Linked DNA regions of Macaca mulatta. The protein of the gene in region 1 purifies or fractionates together with the protein of each later gene. This does not show direct contact. Links are inferred from orthologs where the notes say so. Each region holds a gene or a part of one and is shown in the gene's direction. Other genes may lie near its edges. The genes, in order: PTPRO and DNAJB11.

The links.
Region 2: the proteins of PTPRO (region 1) and DNAJB11 purify together in Homo sapiens (affinity purification with mass spectrometry; 3 studies listed by BioGRID and IntAct, with this or other methods). This does not show direct contact. The link is inferred for Macaca mulatta from reciprocal best matches to the Homo sapiens genes PTPRO and DNAJB11.

What each region holds. Positions count from the first base shown.
Region 1 is NC_133416.1:17,947,856-17,958,972, forward strand, and holds part of PTPRO (receptor-type tyrosine-protein phosphatase O), read left to right. Parts: intron 1-2,822; coding exon 2,823-2,981; intron 2,982-5,025; coding exon 5,026-5,178; intron 5,179-7,182; coding exon 7,183-7,626; intron 7,627-9,469; coding exon 9,470-9,631; intron 9,632-11,117.
Region 2 is NC_133407.1:98,738,191-98,749,806, forward strand, and holds the start of DNAJB11 (dnaJ homolog subfamily B member 11), read left to right. Parts: upstream 1-5,216; 5' UTR 5,217-5,424; coding exon 5,425-5,492; intron 5,493-6,617; coding exon 6,618-6,774; intron 6,775-11,616. UniProt on the Homo sapiens protein: As a co-chaperone for HSPA5 it is required for proper folding, trafficking or degradation of proteins.

The sequences.
Region 1 (11,117 bases):
AAGAAAGATAATGAGAGAAGTCACTGGCGAGATAGTAAAATATTTTTATACTATACATTTGAGTTCTTCTAAAAACAGTAGTTCTTGGATTGAATACTCCTCAGTAATACTTAGACATCAACAGGATTTACAGCTGACCTGGGTCATTTACACTGAAGCTGAGGGAAACAGATAAAACAAACATATAAACAGGCATTTTAAGACATTTTCTTAGTTTAAAGTTTAAGTAGCTTGTTGCAGGAAAAAAAAAATCGGAAAATAAAATATCTGTTCTCTAATCCTCCTGTCTGTCTTGAATTTCAAAGTTTGACCGTGGCTTTGATGTGTAGACTTCATGCCTCAGGTCATGAAAGATTAAGTGCCCTTCTAACTTCTCTTTTCAGTAGAAGAAACCCTGATGAGGATGTGAAACAGGACTGCAACAGTGGAGGAGTTACTGCTCTGTGGCTGCTTTTTCTGTTTCCTTTCATTTTAGTTCTCTTAGGGCCAGAGTCAATAGCCGGATCTGGTAGACTCCATGGGTTAGTAAATTAGGCTGGGTCGAAAGAAAGAACTTGAAGCAATTCAAAACTTCTTTGGGAGTTTTGAACTCAAAACAGAGTCTTCGAGGGTTGGTTGATTGGTTGGTTGGTTGCTTGGTTGGTTGACATGGTACATAAGTGAGTACGTGAGTTCATTCTGAAATGTTACCTGCATGTAGGAAGACTAGGGATGAGACAAAGATAAAATTCATACCTTTTAACCAGAGACTATAGCACATAGGGTACAGTGACATGATCATAAAATACACTGGAGTCTGAAGGTCTTCCTAACTTTTTTGTAGATGTTGGCTTCGTTTTTCAGAAAATTCCAGGAAAAATCAAAGCATTAACATGTAGCTTCAATTATTTCTGGGTTTCTTAAAGTCAATAGCAAAGATAGAGTAATACCCTGAGCAACAAAATAAAACATATCCCGCTACAGATTGAGACATACTAGATACTCAATAGTTATTTATTGAATGAACTAAGTCAAATTTGGAGTTCTCATGTTATTGAAATTGAAATTTTTTGAATGTAAATTTAAACTAAGGATATTTCTTTAGGTCAGGCTATAGATGATGTCCAAGAATCCTCTCAATTCTGAAACTGTGAATCAAAAAATTTTTTTCTGTCAATCTAAAATTGTCAAAAGGGTCAGCATCTCATTTAAAGAGAGTTTTTTCAAGCACAAAGTGTGAGGCTAGACCACCTGGAAACACCAACTCCAAAAGCATTCAGTCAGTGCTCTGAAGTAGTGCAACTGGGATCTCATTTCTTATAGGCAGAGACAGAGAAGTTTTTATCAGGATTACAAAAAAGTATTCATACAAAGTTGACACCTGGTTAACAGAAATTTCATTGGTTGTAAGCAGTGTTTCTTTTGGGGAAGGGGACATTTAACATTTTTTTTACACAGAGTGTGATAGTGATTTATAGGTTTTCTGTCATCCAGCCTAAGCAAAGTGGGACAACAAAGAGGGGAAGTTAATCTACAACAAGGGTCATTAATTAAGAAGGCAGGAGATTTTTGTCCCTGACGTTATTTAATTCCCTCTAGTCATTGTACAGAAAAAGAAAAATAAAGTGAGTTAATCTGTAATTCGAGAACAGAAGTTATAACTATATGTGACTCAGATCACAGTTATATCTTTTGCATGCTTAAAGTGATTTTTGGGGTTCCAACAGCTTTTAAATTTTATTTATCTTCATTTTTTTTTTTTTTGAGATTTCACTCTTGTTGCCCAAGCTGGAGTGGAATGGCACTATCTCTGCTCACTGCAACCTCTGCCTCCCACGTTCAACTGATTCTCCTGCCTCAGCCTCCCAAGTAGCTGGGATTATAGGCGCGTGTCCCCACGCTCAGCTAATTTTGTATTTTTAGTAGAGACGGGGTTTCTCTGTTTGGTCAGGCTGGTCTCAAACTCCCAACCTCAGGTGATCTGCCCGCCTTGGCCTCCCAAAATGCTGGAATTACAGGTGACCCCAAACGAAATTATTTAACATATCTTACTAATAAAATTCATACAAGTAAAATCTGTTTAATAGCTTCTTCAGAAAGGTGCAAAATGCATTATTTACAAGAAATTTGCAGGACAGTGGGAGTGGGAAGAAATGCAGACATATATTGATAATGGATTTTTTAAAATGAGTATTTTTAAAGTTTTCCAGTGAATGAATAACTCAAGCAAAATAGAAATGTTTTCTTTAAACTTCTATAGAAAAAGTAGTTTGAGAAACACCACAACATATATTTTTTACAACATTGGACAGTTTAAAATTTTATACTTCATATGGAAAAATAAGTGCTATGCTCACACGAAGAAATAAATGATCATATAACTATCATCGATCTGAGCCAAAATTTATTTTCTGTTACTGGTCTGTTACTAATATCAAATTTCCTTCGCATGAGAAAAAGAAAAATAAACTGGGAATCTGAAGATACAGACTGTCATGTACTTGTTAAATTACCTTGAACAAGTAATTTAGTCTGTGAGCCATCATTATATTTATCAGTGGGAAGGATATATTAATATTTGCTCTTCCTAGATATCAGGACTGTTGCAAAAGGAAAAATAAATGTAAAAGTTCTTCAAAAAGCAGAAAGCATTATATAAAATGTACTATATTAATTACTGCTAAGAACATTCAATTCATGGGTACTGAGGAGTATAGTGCCCACAGACAGTGAAAATATGTGTGAATTTCTGGTAGGTGTAATCCTTGGTTCGTTCAAGTATTGATACCAGTCTTTCTCTCTCCTCTTTCTTTTCCCTTTCTCCATTTACTTCACTTCTGTAGAACCTCTACCTGTAACCAGTGTTTCCATATATGACTATAAACCTTCTCCTGAAACAGGAGTCCTGTTTGAAATTCATTACCCAGAAAAATATAACGTTTTCACAAGAGTGAACATTAGCTACTGGGAAGGTAAAGACTTCCGGACAATGCTATATAAAGGTAAGCAGCAAAAGGAAGGCTGAATCAATGATGACCCTCAATTTTTAGCAGCTTTTCCCAAATGATGTTCTTTCTTACTACAACGAGGTTTTATAATTCACTATTTGACCTATAAATGAGCCATTAAAAATAATTATTGACTTATGAAAATCATGCTATGAGGAAACCTAGAACATCTGGTTCATTTCTTGAGAGTCAGGTGTCATGTGTACAGCATGAGAAATACTCAAATTATTATCACTTACATGCTACTCTTCCCTAAGGCAGCATGCCTGGTGCAGGAAATAAATTCAGACTTAAGTTTAGAAGCACAAGTAACCATTTCCTTCTGGGTATGGTAGATGGGCATTTCCGAGACTGGGAAGCCAGAGCGGTGCCTTTTGCAAAGTTTCACTTGGGTATGATCCAGCATCCTCAAATGCGATGCTGTATGACTAGCTAAATGAACACATTAACATACAAAAATTAGTTTTGCTTTTTTACTCACTTGATGGGAACCTTGTGGGGAAGGGAGAGAAAAGAGCCCAGGAGAAGCAATACTTCAATTAGTCAAAGGAACAAAATCAACTTCTCTGGGTAGAAGGGGCTAGAGGGAGAGGGAAGAGAGGGCATTCAGTTTCATTTGGGAGTGAATCCTAGTGAAGGAACTTGAATACTCTCAGGACATACCGGGTGGGGGTGGGAGGTAGGTAATGCTACCAGAGTTGGCTAACTGTAACTGGAAACATGTATTGGTGGGAAGAGAAAGAGTATTGAAGCACACAGAGCATGACATCCAGAAAAATGTCACTTTGACTTGCTTCTTTTACACACTCATTTCTTCCATGGATTTATTTTTTCCGAGACATTATTTAAAATATAAGCAGTGGGGCTGGGAGTGGTGGCTCACGTCTGTAATTCCAGCACTTTGGGAGGCCGAGGTGGGCAGATCACTTGAGTTCAGGAGTTCGAGACTAGCCTGGCCAACATGGTGAAACACTGTCTCTACTAAAACATACCAAAAAAACTAGCCAGGCGTTGTGACGGGCACCTGTAATCCCAGATACTCAGGGGCTGAGACAGAAGAATCGCTTGAACCCGGGAGGCAGAGGTTGCCGTGAGCCGAGATCACACCACTGCACTCCAGCCTGGGCGACAGAGCAAGGCTCCATCTCAAAATGAATGAATGAATGAATGAATGAATAAATGAAATATACGCAGTGAATTTAGTTTTTTTAAACTTTGAAAAAATCAAAGAAACATAAATTCCACAAATTATTATGTTGTTTATTTACAATGAAAACAAATAATCTGCAAATTAATAAATGGAAAGTTGTTTATAGATCATATGCAAATATATTTATGAATGATTAAAAAGCAATTACTGAAACTTTTGTTAATCATAAATTTTAAAATAATATAATCCCATTCTTAAGTCAATTACGTCTTATTACTTCTTCAAACTATTTTTAGATTTCAATTCAATAAGTGGTATTTTTAGTTTTTTCTCTCATTTCTTTTGAGTCGGATTGGATTTTTAGTTTATTGTTATTCTCTTTAAAGTTTTCTAAGTGGAGTCCAAACTTCTATTATTTCTTTTTTTGGGCAGGTTCTGTCTTCAAACTGGCAAATAAACCAGTTTTAAATTAGGCTAGTTTTTCTAAATGAAAACTTTTCTTGTAAAATTGCTTTTTTTCAGGTCATAAGATGGCAAAATACCTTGGATTTTTATTTTAAAGTAAATGGCCAGTGTAAACTTAACGTCTACAATTTCTTTATATTATCTCCTTCAATTAATACATACCCCAAAAGTTCCTATCATAAAAAGTTAACTCCAACTGTGTTCGATTTCCTTAGGAATTTTGTCAGAAAAAGTCCTTCAGGATTGAGTCTAAACATTCAACGTTTTGTCTCTAGCCTTCTACTAACTCTTTATTATTGACCATAACAGTAGTTGAAGGAAATATTATGTTGTGAATGTTTAACCATAATTGTTTCAAACTTTCCAGAAGTGTGTGACATTTAGAAGACCATATTTTTCATGTAATTGATTTTCTCTTCACAGATTTCTTTAAGGGAAAAACAGTATTTAATCACTGGCTGCCAGGAATGTGTTATAGTAATATCACCTTTCAGCTGGTATCTGAGGCAACTTTTAATAAAAGTACCCTTGTTGAGTACAGTGGTGTCAGTCATGAACCCAAACAGCACAGAACTGGTAAGTCTCCTGAAGAATCAAATACAGTGAAAAAATAATTCAGTTATATTTTGCTGTATATTTATTTTTTATCCTAAGAAATATTCTGATCCAGAGCAAAGAAAGAAAATGCATATGTTTAATAACCTAAAACAGATTTTATATCAATGTAAAAAGAACTGGGCAAAACATTCAATAAGAAAAATCTAAAATATGTCAATGCAATCATAGATTTGTAATCTTTGAATAAAAACTACTATATTATTACCAAAGGTTATAATTAAGTAAAACTTACCCAGATCTAGTAGACATCAGTTATTACTGACAAGTAGCCCTATGGCAGAAAAAACTAGAAGACATTCTAGTACAGTTTATCAGATTATTAAAGGAAAATATTGAAATTCAAATGTATCTCAAACTTGAAGTGCTTAATTTTAGTAACACCACTAATATAAAGCACTATTGTAGGATGGATGGATAGATGCATGGATGGATGGATGGATGGATGGATGGATGGATGGATGGATGGATGTACGGATGGAAGAATGAATGGGTAAAATAAGCATATATCTACTAAGTACCCATCACCAATATAAGCAACATCGTATGGGCCCAATGTGCCTGCATATTCAATAGGAAAGCTGGAGAGGCCATTCTGATGAGCATCAGGAAAGGATTATGATAGATTACTTCTAAGGTCTTGACAATTTGAAATTCTAAGATATCATGATTCTTATTCATTAGTCCAAGACCAGGAAACTATTTCAGCTAAATCACTAATTCACCGATGTCAACATTTAAGATTCTATTTATGTTTTTCATTATTCAATGTAAGTAGAAAAACATTAATTGAGCACCTTCTACCTGGAATTTGTTCTAAGTACTGAGACATGAAGACAAACACTGATGAGACGGGATCCTTGTCCTCAAAAAAATGGTACTCGTAATACACAAGTGGCACTAATACAAGGCAGAATGAGATAAATATTATAAAAGAGGTACAAAGTTATTTAACAGCACGAAGGAGAGAGAAATTTTTATTAGAAGTTCATGGGGCCTAGCACGGTGGCTCATGCCTGTAATCTCAGCACTTTCGGAGGCTGAGGCGGGTGGATCACCCGAGGTCAGGAGTTTGACGCCAGCCTAGCCAACATGATGAAACCCCGTCTCTACTAAAAATACAAATATTAGCCAGGCTTGGTGTCTGGTGCCTGTAATCCCAGCTACTCGGGAGCCTGAGGCAGGGGAACCGCTTGAACCCAGGAGGCGGAGGTTGCAGTGAGCCGAGACCGCGCGCCATTGCACTCCAGCCTGGGTGACAGAGCGAGACTCCGCCTCAAAAAAAAAAAAATTAAAAAAAAATTCATGGAAGAGGTGATAATTGAACTGCTATTTGAAGGCCAAGTAGAAACTGTTATAGGCAGAGACTATGCAGTGTGTCTTTGTAGTTTTCTCCCTGTAAGTGTGCTTCCATAATTTATGAACTCATTTTGTGCTTATATGTTTCATTTTAGAGAGGTGAGGAGTGAAGCCATATTTCTAACATGTGTGTTAACATCTCTAAAGGCAGCACACGCATGCAACTCTCCTAGGTGCAACTATGTCACATGGAGTATTTTCATCTTCATAGCTATAAGTACACTATACTTGTTTTTTCTTTGTAATAAAAATCCAGGAACACAGATACATTTTTTTGTAAGTGAGATTATGATAAACTGAAAAATATTTACATACTCTGCTTTTAGAAGTGGTTAAATTACCACTTCAACAAGCATAATATTGCAAGTTAATATATTTGAAGTGTGACTAGTGGTATGTTAACAGGTACACATCATCCACAAAATGTTAGAAGTATATATATGGAGAAAAACGCAGTTTGTCTTGACGTAAATTTGTCTGTGTATTAGAAGTAAAATTAAATTCCATTTTTAAAAATCTGCTTTTGTCCCTGACTCATTAAGAGATTAAGTATTCACTCTAATTGAATTAAAAATTACTTGAAAATGAAAATTCTCTCTCTTACAGCCCCTTATCCACCTCAGAATATTTCCGTTCGTATCGTAAACTTGAACAAAAACAACTGGGAAGAACAGAGTGGTAATTTCCCAGAGGAATCCTTCATGAGATCACAAGATACAATAGGAAAAGAAAAACTCTTCCATTTTACAGAAGAAACCCCTGAAATTCCCTCGGGCAACACTTCTTCCGGTTGGCCTGATTTTAATAGCAGTGACTATGAAACTACGTCTCAGCCATATTGGTGGGACAGTGCATCTGCAACTCCTGAAAGTGAAGATGAATTTGTCAGCGTACTTCCCATGGAATACGAAAATAACAGTACACTCAGTGAGACAGAGAAGTCAACATCAGGCTCTTTCTCCTTTTCCCCTGTGCAAATGATATTGACCTGGTTACCACCCAAACCACCCACTGCTTTTGATGGCTTCCATATCCATATTGAACGAGAAGGTAAAGCAGTAGGAAATCAGAGGAAATAAGAACTGATACAAAGGAAGGGGAATTGAACTGTTTTTAAATTTGAGTTTAGAAACACTGATCATAGACACTCAAATCTCCAGAGAATAATGGTAAAGAAAGGGAAGAATGTAATTGGGTATCCAATGCAGACAGAGCAGAAAATCCAAATGAATAGACTGGGTAAGAATCAGAAGGTTTGGGTGATTCACAAGTTGTGAGTACTGCCAACTGTATATATTTTACTGCCTGATATTTCTCATGTCTCAGAACAATTAGGAAAACATCATATTTGGAAATATTTTGAATCAAAGATCTAACTATCCCAGAACATTACAGCATATCCTAGAGAAATTTCCTGTTTTCTCATATGCAAATTTTTAAACATGGCAGCAAAGTAATACTTATGAACACATTACTACTTTCCTCAAGAATATGAGGCTTGTGTCCTGCTAACCAGCTACTCTTGTTCCCTTTAGGGTATGTCCCTCTGGAACAAGCACCATAGTTTTCCAAAGAGAAGCTGATAGTAACATGGAAAATACACAGCTACTGACATTTCCATATAGCTACTATATTACATTTTGCATTGACTAACTCAGCATCTGAGATTCATTCTTTATAGCCCACTAACTTAGGAAAGTAGAGCCATGACTTTCAACAAGTTTGGGTCATGATACCTATCTCAATTGTTGTTTGGTAGATTTTTATGGTTATTTGTTGTTTGTTTAGTTTTTACAATAATATACTTCATTTTCCATTTTCTGGTCTAGTAGTTTGAGTGGCAGAGGTTATAATTTGTAAAAATTTGAAGTTACGATGATAGCCTTATTTTTAGGGTGAGAGTTTAAGGCCCATGTAGTCTCATATACTGACATATTGTTTACTCCTATTTTACTTAATAGCATGAGATACAACAAAAATCTGTGGATTCTTCTATACAAGATGATGCAGCATTCAACCATAACCAAATAACACATAAAATGAAAATTCTTAATTATTTGAGTCAAAAGTCATTTTCTTGGAATTGCCTACATTTTTTTAAAGTTTCCCTAATCGTCTTTTATTTTTCTGTTCCTAAATATGTTCCTATGGCAAATAGGATCTTGTCATTACAAAATTTTTTTACTGCCTCTTCTCATGAAGGTTCTATTATGCATTTATCTGACTACAGTGTCTTCTTTTGAAGGCTGTTGTAGTCACCAACTGATGATAATGACTTCAAATGAAGTAATAAGCAGCAGAGGATGGATGGACTGTGATGCAATGTGAAATAATTCTTTAAGAAGATTTGAAAGCAAATGGATGAAGGAAAAATATTACCATGATTATTATTTTTAAATTTTACTTTAAATTCTGGGGTACATCAGAAAATATATCTTAAAAAATGAGATGTATTTTAAATAAATGTTAAAGCACTTCTGAATGGTTAATACTACCACAAAGAACTTACAAGATATTTGATGCTGGTTATTTTTTAGCCCTTACCTCGTGATGAGGAAGCCAATAATTGTTATCTTTTCCTGACTATCTACTTCTGTTTTGTAAACATAATTTTGTTGGGTAGGAGTACATAAAGATACACAGTGTAGACCCATCCCTAGTTTTATTGATTCGAATGCCATATTTGAGTTTTGTTATTTGGAAGGTTGTAAAAATATTGAACTCTTACTTATATTCTTTAATAGTACCTTTAGTTTAGAGGTGTAACTGAACTTGACAAAAGGAGGGAACATTTAAAATACCTAATTATTTTTTTTCATTAATTGACTTGTCTATACCCAGGGCCTTTCCAGGCGTCAATTCATATATCTTCTCTTTTTTTTATATGATTTAGAGAACTTTACTGAATATTTGACGGTGGATGAAGAAGCACATGAATTTGTTGCAGAACTGAAGGAACCTGGGAAATATAAGTTATCTGTGACAACCTTTAGTTCCTCAGGATCTTGTGAAACTCGAAAAAGTCAGTCAGCAAAATCACTCAGCTTTTATATCAGTAAGTAACAAAGAGATCACTTTACACTTACTGGGGAGCTAGAACAATGGAACTGGTGAGATTATTGATGCTCAGATGTCAACTATTCACAAACCTTAGAGATGCGGAGAAGTCTTCAAGATCAGGAGAGGCTGAGATCCACAAGCTTTGGACAGCAGAGGAAATATATGCATATTTAATAGTAGCAATCCTATCCACGGGTTTAACTTGAGGATTCTTTTCACTATTGTGATAATTGAACATTTATTAAACTGACCTTCCACATTAGCCATAACAAACCCTCCAAGGATGTGGACATACAGTTTGGGAAATACGACATTTGCTTGAGGCCATAAGGAAATGACATTATAGGACTATGAAAAATCTCATTAGAGTATTGAGCTTGCGAAGCTCAAAAGAAAGACAAAGATTCAAGTACACCCAGGTGGTCTCCATAAAATTGGTGGAAAAAGCCATAGCTAGAGCAACCTAAAAGCCCAATGTCAAGTCCTAGGGTGGCCTCTACCAATTCCATAAGGGTCACAGCACAGCAAAAGCTAGCCTCTGAAGGTTGCACAAACAGTGCCAGCCTCTATAACGTGTTTAGCTAAACTGACTATGTTTACTGGAAGTATAGAGGTCAAAAATCAGTAACCTACCCTATCAGGAGTTAAATGTGCCTCTGATCAGTAGAAAGAAAAACCAGAAGGCAAAGAATAAAAATTGCTTTCAGAAAAGGATAACCACCACATATCCTATTGCCATCTGGAAAGGCAAAATACCACCTTTCGTTCAAGAATGGATGAGAGCAAAAGAGGAGCTCAGTTTATGCAGCGGCTTAAAAATGTTAAAAATATCCCATATAATATTTTTACTAAAAGAAAAACCAAAAATGTCACCTCTGGCAAAAGAAAGGCCTTAAAGATTTATCAGATGCATAGAAAAGGTATTCCCAACTGCCTTGTGTGTCTTTCAAGTATTAGAGACCTTGGACATGTGATTACTTAAGAAAGAGAACAAAGTTGAGTATTTCATTCTTTCCATAAGACTAAAAATGCCTCACTGAACAAATGGTCTTTCTGCACCAGTACAGATCCACTGCCCATGTGAACAGCCTCCACGGAAACTCGGCGACAATTCTGGTCTTTCTGACTTCTCTTCTCTGAATTCCTATTCCGTCTCATAGTACACAGCACAAAACACAGAACTTATTAGTGTGTGGTATTTTTCTAGATTTATTTTAGGTGCATCTTGCTTCTCATGTCAAATTGTAAAATCCTAGGCTGGAGTTATACCGTTTGCATATTTATTCATTCTCTTGTACATTCAAGAAATATTTATGGAACCACTTGTATCTTTCATGTGCTCTGCTCTATTCTTAGAGTATCTAAAGTGACTAGTGCCATTGAGGACATGTCGGAATTGCTCAAAAATGTGATTACTTTAAAGAGATGCATCTTAATATTTATCTAGAAAAATACGGGTTCCCAGAAGTTTTGTTTTTTCT
Region 2 (11,616 bases), on another chromosome or scaffold:
CATATACAATTCTGTACTATTTCAAAAGCTTTACAGTATTCTAAACAAATGTATCCCATTTTGTTCAACTGTTCTCCCATTTTTAGACACTTTACTAGGTTTCAGATTTTTCACAAAAACAACATAGGCAAAATACTGATCATTACTGAAGTGGGGCGATGGGCACATGGGGGGCTCATTGATTCTATTTTTGTGTATGTTAAAAAATTTCATTACTAAAGTTCAAATGTTGTCACCAGTGTAAATAATGCTATCACAACCATCTTTCTTCATATTTTCTGCATTACAAATTATTTCCTTGAGAAAATTTTCAGATGTACTTTTGTGAAATGGAGTAATTGACATTTCTAAAGCTTGTGAAATATATTCTCGTTGCTTCCAAATGATTTTATTAAATTGTACCATCCTTTGACTATGGTAGCCACTTCACTGTGCACTCCTCAACATTAGCAACATCATTTTTTAAAAATCTAAAAAATCATTTAAAAAATGAATTATATGAGTGATAAAAAATTTATTGTTATTATTATATTTTGCATTTGATTCTAAGAAAACTGTGCTTCTCTCTCTCTTTTTTTTTTTTTTTTTTTGAGATGGAGTCTTGCTCTGTTGCCCAGGCTAGAGTGCAATAGCTGGTCTCGCCTCATTGCAACCTCCACCTCCCAGGTTCAAACGATTCTCCTGCCTCAGCCTCCCAAGTAGCTGGGATTACAGGCTCCTGCCACCACACCAGGCTAATTTTTGCATTTTTTTAAATAGAGAAAGGGTTTCACCATGTTGGCCAGGCTGGTCTTGAACTCCCTGACCTCAGGTGATCCGCCTGCCTTGGCCTCCCAAAATGCTGGGATTACAGGCGTGAGCCACCGCACCCGGCCCGCCAACTGCTTCTCTCGAGAATCATCTGTTTAGAAAAATAACTGACATCAATCAAGTGCTTACTATGTACCAGGTAGCATGCTAATCATTTTGCATACTTCACCCCCTTTCACCCTCACAACTACCTGGAGATACAGTACTTAAGACTGTACACATTTTCGATGAAAAAAATGAGGCTTAGCGAAATTAAGAGATTTCCGTAAGGACACCTACTTAGCTGGCACAGCCCTGGATTAGGATTCGGGTCGACTTGAGAACTGCATTACTACAAATGTACTCTAGGAATCCAGTTTTGGGAGAATCTCTTAAAAACGGGAGTGGATCCAGAAGAGAATTTCCAGAATAAAGAGCCTTAGACAGGACGCCAGGTGAAAGAATCAGAGAGTGTAAACTCAAAAGATGGGCGTGGAAGGGCAAAAGGCAGCTGTCTTCCAATGTGGAGAGACTGGCGTCGTTTTGAGTAAAACCAGACGATAAAAGTTAGGCGAGGAAGACCTCGGTTCTCTCCAAAACGTAAAGAGGCTGCTCTGTGAGGTACTGAGCCCCTGTCAACAGCCAGATCCCAGGAATGAGCCCTCCATTCTAACTCCGAGAGTCGAGAGGGCTCAACCCGTAAACAAACACAAACATGGGTTCTGACCCTGGCGGTGCGCTGGGGTTAAGGATTTTCAGGTCGGAAGATCGGTGTGGGTCTAAGGCAGTTGTACTGGGGCTTCGCTGCCACCCTGGACTTGATCCCGGGTGGGACTCTGCGTGGGCCGCCCCAGCGTCGCGACGAGACTTCAGGAACACAGACACCCACACTGACAGAGTCGGTAGCTGACCCGAGACGCGGCGAGCGCGAAGGCAGCCTCCTCGGCCCAAGCCTGCAGCCTGACTGACCCACACCTCCCTCCCCGGCGCCAGCCCGTGCGCGATTACCTGCTAAGGCAGGCGCCGCTCCGCCGCACTTCTCCGCGCGCCGCCGCAACCCGCGTCCGCTCGCTGGGCCCGCCCCTCCCGCGCGCCGCCGCCGCCGTGCCCACTGCGCAAGCGCGAGGCCCCGCACCACTGAGAACTGGCGGACCCCATTGCTAGAGCGGCAGATTGAGGTTTAAGCGCCTGAGAAAATCCGGGCTGGGACCGAGAGTCCGCGACGGTGGCACCAGGAGCCAGACACACCACTTTCTGGTGTTGCACCTTTCAACCCAGGGGGAGTAGGAAGCTTTCTGTTGCTCCACATAACTGTGGTCAGCCAATAGCTGCTGGTAAGATCAGCACGCTTTCATCAGAAATACTACTAATGGCAGTTTGCATTTATAGAGCGCTTACTATGGTCTCAGCACTGTGTAAAGCAACTTTATATTTCCTCAGTGTTCTCAAGAGCCCTTTAAGTACATTAGTTTTACTGATGAAGAAACTAGGGCGTAGAAAGGTGAAAGTAACAGAACCCTAAAGTCACACAAGAGATGGAGCCAAGATTCAAACCCAGGGCGTCTGAAGCGAGACTGGCACTCCCTACAGCCCCTCAGTGTCAACTCCTTATCTCTGTTAGCTTTTCCTCCGTGTTCCACTTTCATGAAGCTTTTTCAGATTGCCGGGCAGAAGCCATCACTCCTTTCTTTAAACTTCCATTTCAGGATTTCTGAAAGTTTCCTTCTTTTTTTAGTTCGTTTATGGCCTACTTAGGTACACACCTAAATATACAAAGGTAATTTAGACCATAAAATGCAATTTAGTTCCTCTTTTGTTTTTTAGTTCCTCCATTGTCCCTACTGGGTATCTTCCTGAAAGCAGGGGCTTCAAATTTACACAGACCTGGGTTAGGATCCAGGCTGCGCCACTTACTAGCTCAGTGACCTTGCTGTTATTTGTTGAGTACCACTGTGTGTCTGGCACAGTGGTAGATACTAGAATGACAGGAGTGAACAAAATAGACAAGGTCCTTGCTTTCTTGGAGTGTGTAACAGGGAGAATAGACAATACATATTAAGGAGTAAAATGAGATAATTTCAGATAGCGGTAAATGCTATGAAAATTGGGGGAGGGGGGTCAGGGAAGGCCACGTTGTAGTGCCAAATTTGAGCCGAGGCCTGAAGAATAAGAAGCCAGCCATGCAATGATCACCATCCAAGTAACTTTTACTCAAAAATACTTCAGCACCTACTCCATGCCAGGCACTGTTCTAAGGTGCTGTCTTATACAGCTGTGAACAGAACAATATAGATTCATGCTCTCATGAAACTGGCATTACAGTGTGTGCAGTCTAGGGACCAGGGATGAGAAAATAAAATAGGAGGCCGGGCGCGGTGGCTCATGCCTATAATCCCAGCAATTTGGGAGGCTGAGGCAGTTGGATCACTTGAGGTCAGGAGTTCAAGACCAGCCTGGCCAACATGGTTAAACCCAGTCTCTACTAAATATGCAAAAAAATTAGACGTACACGGTGGTGTGCGTCTGGAGTCCCAGCTACTCGGAAGGCTGAGGCAGGAGAATCGCTTGAACCCGGGAGGCGGAGGTTACAGTGAGCCGAGATTGCGCCACTGCACTCCAGCCTGGGCAACAGAGCAAGACTCTGTCTCAGGAAGAAAAAAAAAAAGAAAAAAGAAAACAGGGTGGTGTAAGAGTAAGAGCTCAGTAGGGGCTAATTTTGATTGATTGGTCAGGGAAGTCTTCTCTGAGGTGGTGACCTTTAAGCTGATACATGAGTTAAAGAAGGAATCACCCATGGTAAGACATGAGGGAGAGTACAGCGTTTCAGGCAAAGGGAACAGCTAACACAAAGGCCTTCGGCAGGAATGTGCTTGGTGTATACAAAAAAGAAAGGAAGCAAGTTTTGCTGGAACATGGTTAGGAGCATAATAGGTGAGAGGACAAAGCATAAACGGCTTTGTAAACTAGCATAGAGCTGGGATTTTATTCTAAGTGCAAATGAAGAGCCATTCCAGGCTTTTAAACAGGGGAGTGACATGATTTGACTTTTATTTTTTATGTATTTATTTTTTTTTGAAATGGAGTCTCACTCTGTCGCCCAGGATGGAGTGCAGTGGCAGGAACTCAGGTCATTGCAACCTCCACCTCCCAGGTTCAAGCAATTCTCCTGCCTCAGCCTCCCGAGTAGCTGGGATTACAGGCGCTCGCCACCACACCCTGCTAATTTTTGTAGTTTTAGTAGAGACGGGGTTTCACCATGTTGGCCAGGCTGGTCTCAAGCTCCTGACCTCAGGTGATCCGCCCATCTCGGCCTCCCAAAGTGCTGGGATTACAGGCGTGAGCCACCGCGCCCGGCCCTTAAAAAAAAAAAAAAAAAAAAAAAGGAGTGAGGGACAGGGATGAGCAACATATATGAAGGTATTAAGGAAGATATTAAGAGTGGAGACAAGGAGGCCAGTTAGGAGGCCCTGGCCAGGTGAGAGATACACTGTGATCCAGAGACCTAGTAATGGAGATGTAGTGAACAGATTCAAGTATAGTTCAGAGGTAAAGATTTGGATAGCTTATATATGAAAGGAGTAAAAACACCTAGAGCTTTGTCCTGATCAACTAGGTGTTGTGTAACTGTGATGAGCAAAATCGGGGGGGAAGACGGGGAATCAAAGACTTATGCTCGAACAGTAATAATGGTTTTTATTCATTGCCTGCTTACTATACGCCAGGCGATTTACAGATTTTTTTTCCCTGTTAAAATTCACAGAACTGCCAATAAGTGCTTTGCCTTAGTTTTGTTGATAAAGAAACTTAGGCTCAGACTTAGGAGGAGGGAAGGAGTAAGGAGTCTCACCACTGAGAAGCGGTGCAAGCCGAATCCGCACTTAAGTCGGTCAATCATCACTGTCGCCTTTCCGAGACTTATGGAGTTGCTTGGAGAACGTAAAATAAGAGTCCTAAGCAATGCGTCCGATGTACAGTTGAGGAATAACCGTCCCCGCTCATTCTGCCGCTGTTCCCTCATTCTGCTCCCGCATTCGGCGCGTAGCTGGGTATGAATGAAATTCCAAACTTGAAACACAGAGAAAACTTCTCTCCCACAATTGGTTGGTGCTGGGGAGGAGCCTCCTGATTGGTGGAAAGTTCGAGGAAGTGGGTGAGTCGAGGAGGATTTCGTGTACCTCAGGTGCCCTTACTCGGACCAGCCCCCTACCATTACGTAATTTTCTACGACTCGGGGTAGCTCGGGCAGAGCGGGTTCCTGCAGCGGCGCGACCCTCTGACGTCTCCTCTTCTAATTGGTCAAGATCTGCGACTGCAGTTCTGAAGCCTAACTGGCTACGCGTGCCGCCTCGGAGGTGAAGTGTACTGCGCTGATTGGCTTTCAGGCGCCGGCCGCGTGTGATGTCCCGGGCAACGATTGGCTCTCGCTTACCGGGGTCTTCTCTCACCGGGACTTGGGACTCCCGGGAAGTGGACTGGAAAAGGAGGGGGCTAGCTAGCTGTCTCTGCGGACCAAGGAGGAGACCCCCCCGCCCACCGGTGTGAGGCGCCTCACAGCGCTGGGTGGGCTGGCGAGCCGACGCGGCGGCGGAGGAGGCTGTGAGGAGTGTGTGGGACAAGACCCGGGACAGAGGAACCATGGCTCCGCAGAACCTGAGCACCTTTTGCCTGTTGCTACTGTACCTCATCGGGGCCGTGATTGCCGGGTGAGGAATAGACACTCGCAGACAGCGGGGCCCGGGGGTCAGCCTTTGCTAGGGGGTGGGAGGGGGTGGGGGAAGTGGTATTGCAGACTGAGGGAGTGGAGAGGGGCATCGCTGTGGGTTGGCGGGGTGGCGGAGGAAGGGGTAGTATGGGCCAGACTAGTGGGGTGAGAAGCGAACCGTAGGTGACACCAGTGAGAAGGCGTTAGGTCCAGAGAAGGTCTTTGGTAGAGCTAGATTTGCCCGGAGGAGTGGGAGGTGGATGCATTGCCAACGGCATTTGGGGGATGAGGGAAAGAAGGTGGTTGTGAGCTGGAGCACTGTCACGTAGAGCTGGGGGAAGAAAGAGGGATGCCTGACTGTAAGGAAAGGTAGTGACAGTGCTAGGCTGAGGTTGGGGGGATGGACGTTTGTTTGATCAAAGAGGTGGGTTGCTGTGCCCCGCTGAGCTGGAGAAGCGGACGATGCTCTATGCCAAGCCTGCGAAGAGCCATTGGGGGGCTGACATTAAAGTGGGTGGATGATGCCAGGCCGAGTTGGGACTGAAGGAAATTGGATGGGGAGGGGAACAAGAAGACCCTTTGGAGAGCCCTTGTGCTTCCCAGCTTCTTGAGCTATTTATTGTCTTAAGTTGCTTCGTCTTTAACATTCTGGCAATGCTACTGTTAGGACATTTATGTGGCATAATCTTTTTAAATAAGGAAAATCATCCCTTGAGAGTGTTATTTGACTTTTAGAAAAGTCAAAATCATTTGGAGCAAATGTAGAGAAAGGGGGGAAGAGTTAATTTGATTATATGGTTATTGCCTAAAGATAACATGAGACCATAAAATAAGGAAGTGGTTTTCTTGACTGAAGGTGGTTCTGAAAGAAGATGCCACAGATGTTTTGAATAATCTAAAAAGAAGTATGTAGCTTCTTACTGTAATTACTTCAATATATAAGATTCATTACAAATTCTGGTGTTCTCTTTTTAGTCATTCTTTGTGTGTATATGTGTCACATAAACGTTCACTTTCGTACCTCTTTGCTCAGATACAAACCTAAATGTAGAGGAAAAATAAATCTTTTACTTTTAAAAATGTAACATGTAACTCTGATGAAGTATTCTCTCCCTCTACTTCCCAGACGAGACTTCTATAAGATCTTGGGGGTGCCTCGAAGTGCCTCTATAAAGGATATTAAAAAGGCCTATAGGAAACTAGCCCTACAGCTTCATCCCGACCGGAACCCTGATGATCCACAAGCCCAGGAGAAATTCCAGGATCTGGGTGCTGCTTATGAGGTGAGTCAGGAAAAGTGATAAAGAACAAATAAGATCTGTAGCTCTAGAAAAAATATACAATACAGAGAAATACTCTTTTCAGCTCACATATATTTATTTAGAGACTGAGTCTCACTTTATTGCCTAGGCTGGAGTGCAGTGGTGCAATCTCTGCTCACTGCAACCTCCGCCTCCACGGTTCAAGCACTTCTCCCACCTCAGCCTCCCGAGTAGCTGGGATTACAAGTGCATGTCACCACGCCTGGTTAATTTTTGTATTTTTAGTAGAGACAGGGTTTCACCATGTTGGCCAGGCTGGTCTCGAACTCCTGACCTCAAGTGACCCGCCCGCCTCGGCCTCTCAAAGTGTTGGGATTACAGGTGTGAGCTACCACGCCCAGCCCAGGTCACTTTTATTTAAAAGTAGATGGTAGATGAAAGTAAAAGTAGTACTTGATACTGTATTGTACTAGATATTACATTCATGTTAGTAGATACCATTTTCTGCCTTTTGATATTAATATTTATTTTAAGAAGGAGAATAATGCTGCAAAAGAATAAATGAAAGATTGGTAGATTAATAAGTAGATCAATTGATTGGTCTGTCAGTCAGTCAGTTCGGGAGCTAGACCAAAAATAAAAAGAAAGCCTTCATGAGAGTTGCAAACCTACATGTTCATATGAACTAGACAAATAACATGCAGGGCAGGTATAAATTAAAACATGACAGCAGATATTCTGCCTCCATGTTGGGAAGCAATAAGGATTGTTGAGGGCTTTGACAAATTGAAGCCTTCTGGCCCCATTTCAAGGGAGCAGCTGTTACCTCAACCCTAGCCAGTTTTTGTCATAGTAATGCAAACAGTATGTTCCTAGATGATTTAATTTTTCCAGAAAAGTTGAAAATCTAGACTTTTATATAAGTTCTGCTTGTAAAAATGTTGGTAACTAATTCAGTTAAATTTCTTTTTTACGTAGATCAAACAAAGCACAGTTTTAATTTGATTTTCCAACCTCTAATCTGGGGACCAAAACACTCTCCATTTGTATCATCTCATTTAACCTTCACTAGGACACCAGGAAATACATTAGAGCTAGGCATATTTTTATTCTCATTTTCTAAATGGACACAGAAAAAAATTAGTTGAACTAAAAGTCATAGAGCTAAAACTCCCGAATTTAAGTTTAAATTCTTATATATTGAGAAGGCTAAAAACAAATTGAAAAGTATTTTAGGAAGACATAAACCTTGAAAGGAAGGAATCCCAAGATCTCTTAGATTAAAGAAACAATGGAGGCCGGGTGCGGTGGCTCAAGCCTGTAATCCCAGCACTTTGGGAGGCCGAGACGGGCGGATCACGAGGTCAGGAGATCGAGACCATCCTGGCTAACCCCGTGAAACCCCGTCTCTACTAAAAAATACAAAAAAACTAGCCGGGCGAGGTGGCGGGCGCCTGCAGTCCCAGCTACTCGGGAGGCTGAGGCAGGAGAATGGCGTAAACCCGGGAGGCAGAGCTTGCAGTGAGCTGAGATCCGGCCACTGCACTCCAGCCTGGGCAACAGAGCGAGACTCTGTCTCCAAAAAAAAAAAAAAAAAAAAAAAGAAACAATGGAACTGAAACAGTGAGTTATACCCAGGTGAACCCAAGAGTTGTTGGGGTCCTTTTTCTTTCAATACCTTCAGGGATTCTATGGGACAGAAATTCTCTCTTTTTTTTTTTTTTTTTTTTTTTAAGACATAGTCTCGCTCTGTCTGCCAGGCTGGACTGCAGTGGCACAATCTCCGTTCACTGCAAGCTCTGCCTCCTGGGATTTATGCCATTCTCCTGCCTCAGCCTCCCGAGTAGCTGGGACTACAGGCATGCACCACCACACCTGGCTAATTTTTTGTATTTTTAGTAGAGACAGGGTTTCACCGTGTTAGCCAGGATGGTCTCGATCTCCTGACCTCCTGATCCGACTGCCTCAGCCTCCCAGAGTGCTGGTATTATAGGCATGAACCACCGTGCCTGGCCAAGGGACAGAAATTCTTAACCGGAGGCACATAAATAAACTTCAGAAGTCTGATGGCCTGTCCTAAATTATATGTAATATTTTGTTTCTTGTTGATAATATGGATTCCATATTTTGTACTGTATTTTCCATGAATATTCCCCTTGTTTGCTAGGAACCCAATACTCAAAAACATTTTCTAGGGAAGCTGAATTTACCATGCTCTCTAAAGAATCTTCATGTTCTTTATCCATCACCTAGGCAGACTATACAAAGGCCAATCATGAAATTATGGCTTATTTAACTATAACAACCCTTTTAGCCACTAGTTTAAATTTCTTTTTTCTTTTTATCATTCAAGCTTGATTGCCTTTAGTCTTAGGTAAATTAGTGTTCGCAAATTAGAATCCGAGTACAGTTAGGAAGAATCTTTTGTGAATACAAATTTGTTTTCTCTACAGAGCTAAGATTACTGCTGGCATTTTAATTACTTGAGAATCTGTGTATTGGTTGGCCAATCAACTAAAAACCTTTTTTCTTTTAAAATAGTTTCCAAGACCATGGAATAAAATTGCATTCCTTGGTGGAAGAAAAGTGAGGAGGAAGTGAATGATAATAAATGACTTCATGAGTAGTTTTTAGGGGGTTATTACAGAAGCCTCTGATGTCTAAAAAGAAACTGACTTAAAACTAGTCTTTGGGGGTTTTGAAATGGTGTCTTTTATAGTCTCAAATGCAGGGTTCATTTCTTTTCCAAGATCAGATCAGAGAAGTAGACTAAAAGTGAAAATATTGGAGATCCAGATAATAATAAGGGTTTTTTTTTTTTTTAAGTCAGCTGTGCCCATTTCTGCTTCCCCAAAATACCTATTTTCTAAAGATATTTGTGAAAACATTCTTTCCTCTCCCTTTTTCTATCATAGTGGCTTTAATCAAGTACTGTGGTCACTTCTGGAATAACCCATTGGCCTTCGCTTTTAAGAATGTTCACTCTCTTGTATATTCAATTTCTATTTATCCTTTCAAGGATATCTTAAATGTTAATACATTTTTTGCCATGACTCCTAACACTTCATTTGGGCCCTAAGCCAAAACTGTGTGAATATGCCTTTCTTTTAAGTCAACAAGCCCCATCTACTTTGAACCTCTCTTTTTCTGGGCCACCGTGAGTATGGTTTTGAAATAACTCTCTCCTTCAGCCTCTTGTCTAAGTAGGAGTTTATAAATATCAAAGGAAGATTTTAAAGCCATTTAATTTTCACAAGTATATATGTGCATATATATCAGATTGCTCTAAATAAAAGAGAATTTTTGCATGTTGAAGACAAATTTCGAAAAGGATGGAAGCTTATTTTGTTGTTACATTCTTTAATATTATACAGAGAGGAAGCATTAGTCATGATTGTGTATGTAATTCACTGAAACTTAAAACTTCAAGAATTATTTCAAGCAATGAAATTGACCTTAAATAACCTTCATAGAGTATTTTCACTTATTACTTTCTCTGCATTTCAAACTCAGGACATTACAAACTTAAACATGTATATATATGTGTGTGTGTGTATATATATAGATATACACATATACATATACTTCATATACTCCCAGAGAAAATCCCACAGATAGAGGGCTGTTTTGAACTGTTTCCCCTGACTGCAGAGAACAAAAAGACTCCAGACAGCAAACAAAACAAAAAACACCCCAAGAAACCAAACAAAACACAGTTAAAACCAGTGGGCCAGGGCTCAGCCCACGATGCTCTACAGGGAAAGGTAGTTGCTGGTATCCATAAGGGAATATCAGCTCAAAGGCCAAGACAGCTAGATACCTGAGAAGGTCAATCATCTGCCCCACAAAAGACAACAAACTGAATAACACATATATTTTAAGCAATTGTACTTTGCCTAAAAAAAGATTAGACAGACCAAGAGCTTAAAACAAGCATGATAATACTTAAGGAGGTAAGACATTAGTAAAATGATATAGAGTAAGAAATAATGCAAGAATCAAGTAGAAATATTATGCATAAAAATATGAGTTGAAATTAAAACACAGCAGATGGGTTGTTACTAGAATGGATATAGCTGAAGACTGAAGTAGTAAGCTAGGAGATCAAAATGAGGTACCTCCCAGAAGGAAGCAGTGAAGGATAAAGAAACATAATTTATTTTTTATATTTAAAAGAAAATTAAGAGCAGATAGCTCCAGAAATAATCCTGGATTGAGTTTTCTGAAATAAGGAGACATTTTCATTAGGTTAATCAGAGGATTGGATGGTAGCCACATACCAGGTTTTGAAGGCGGTGATTGTTCCTCAGGGGTTATGCTTTATACAGCTCGGATTTCTTAAAAGATAATCATTATATGAACTACTTTAACTCAGTAGCATTTAATTGTGGCTTAGAAATGCTGATATCATACACTTTATTTTTCGGTTCTCTTGTTTTCTTACTCCTGTCTCTACTTCTCCAGCTTTAGAATTTGAGTCATTTAAGTATGTGTTTGCTTCATTCTACGTATCTACATATACTCCCAGAACTTGTACTTTTGACTAAGAATAAGAGGTTTATATGTACCTTCTCTGTCTTTTTGAGGGTAAGAGGGAGTGATCAAATGCACAAAATTGAATTAATTATAATCCTTGGTTCATGATACACTGATGTCATTGTTTTATCACCCAGCTTAAGAACTAAGTAAAACATTACCATGACTTAATCTGCGTACATGCCACTTCCCTGTTCCATTACCCTGCCTCCCTTCACAGGTAACTACTGTATTGAATTATGTCTTTATTGTTCTTTTGCCATTCTTATTTTATACATATATATGTATAAAAGGCGGGCAGCATTCTTCCACAAATGGATTTCTACA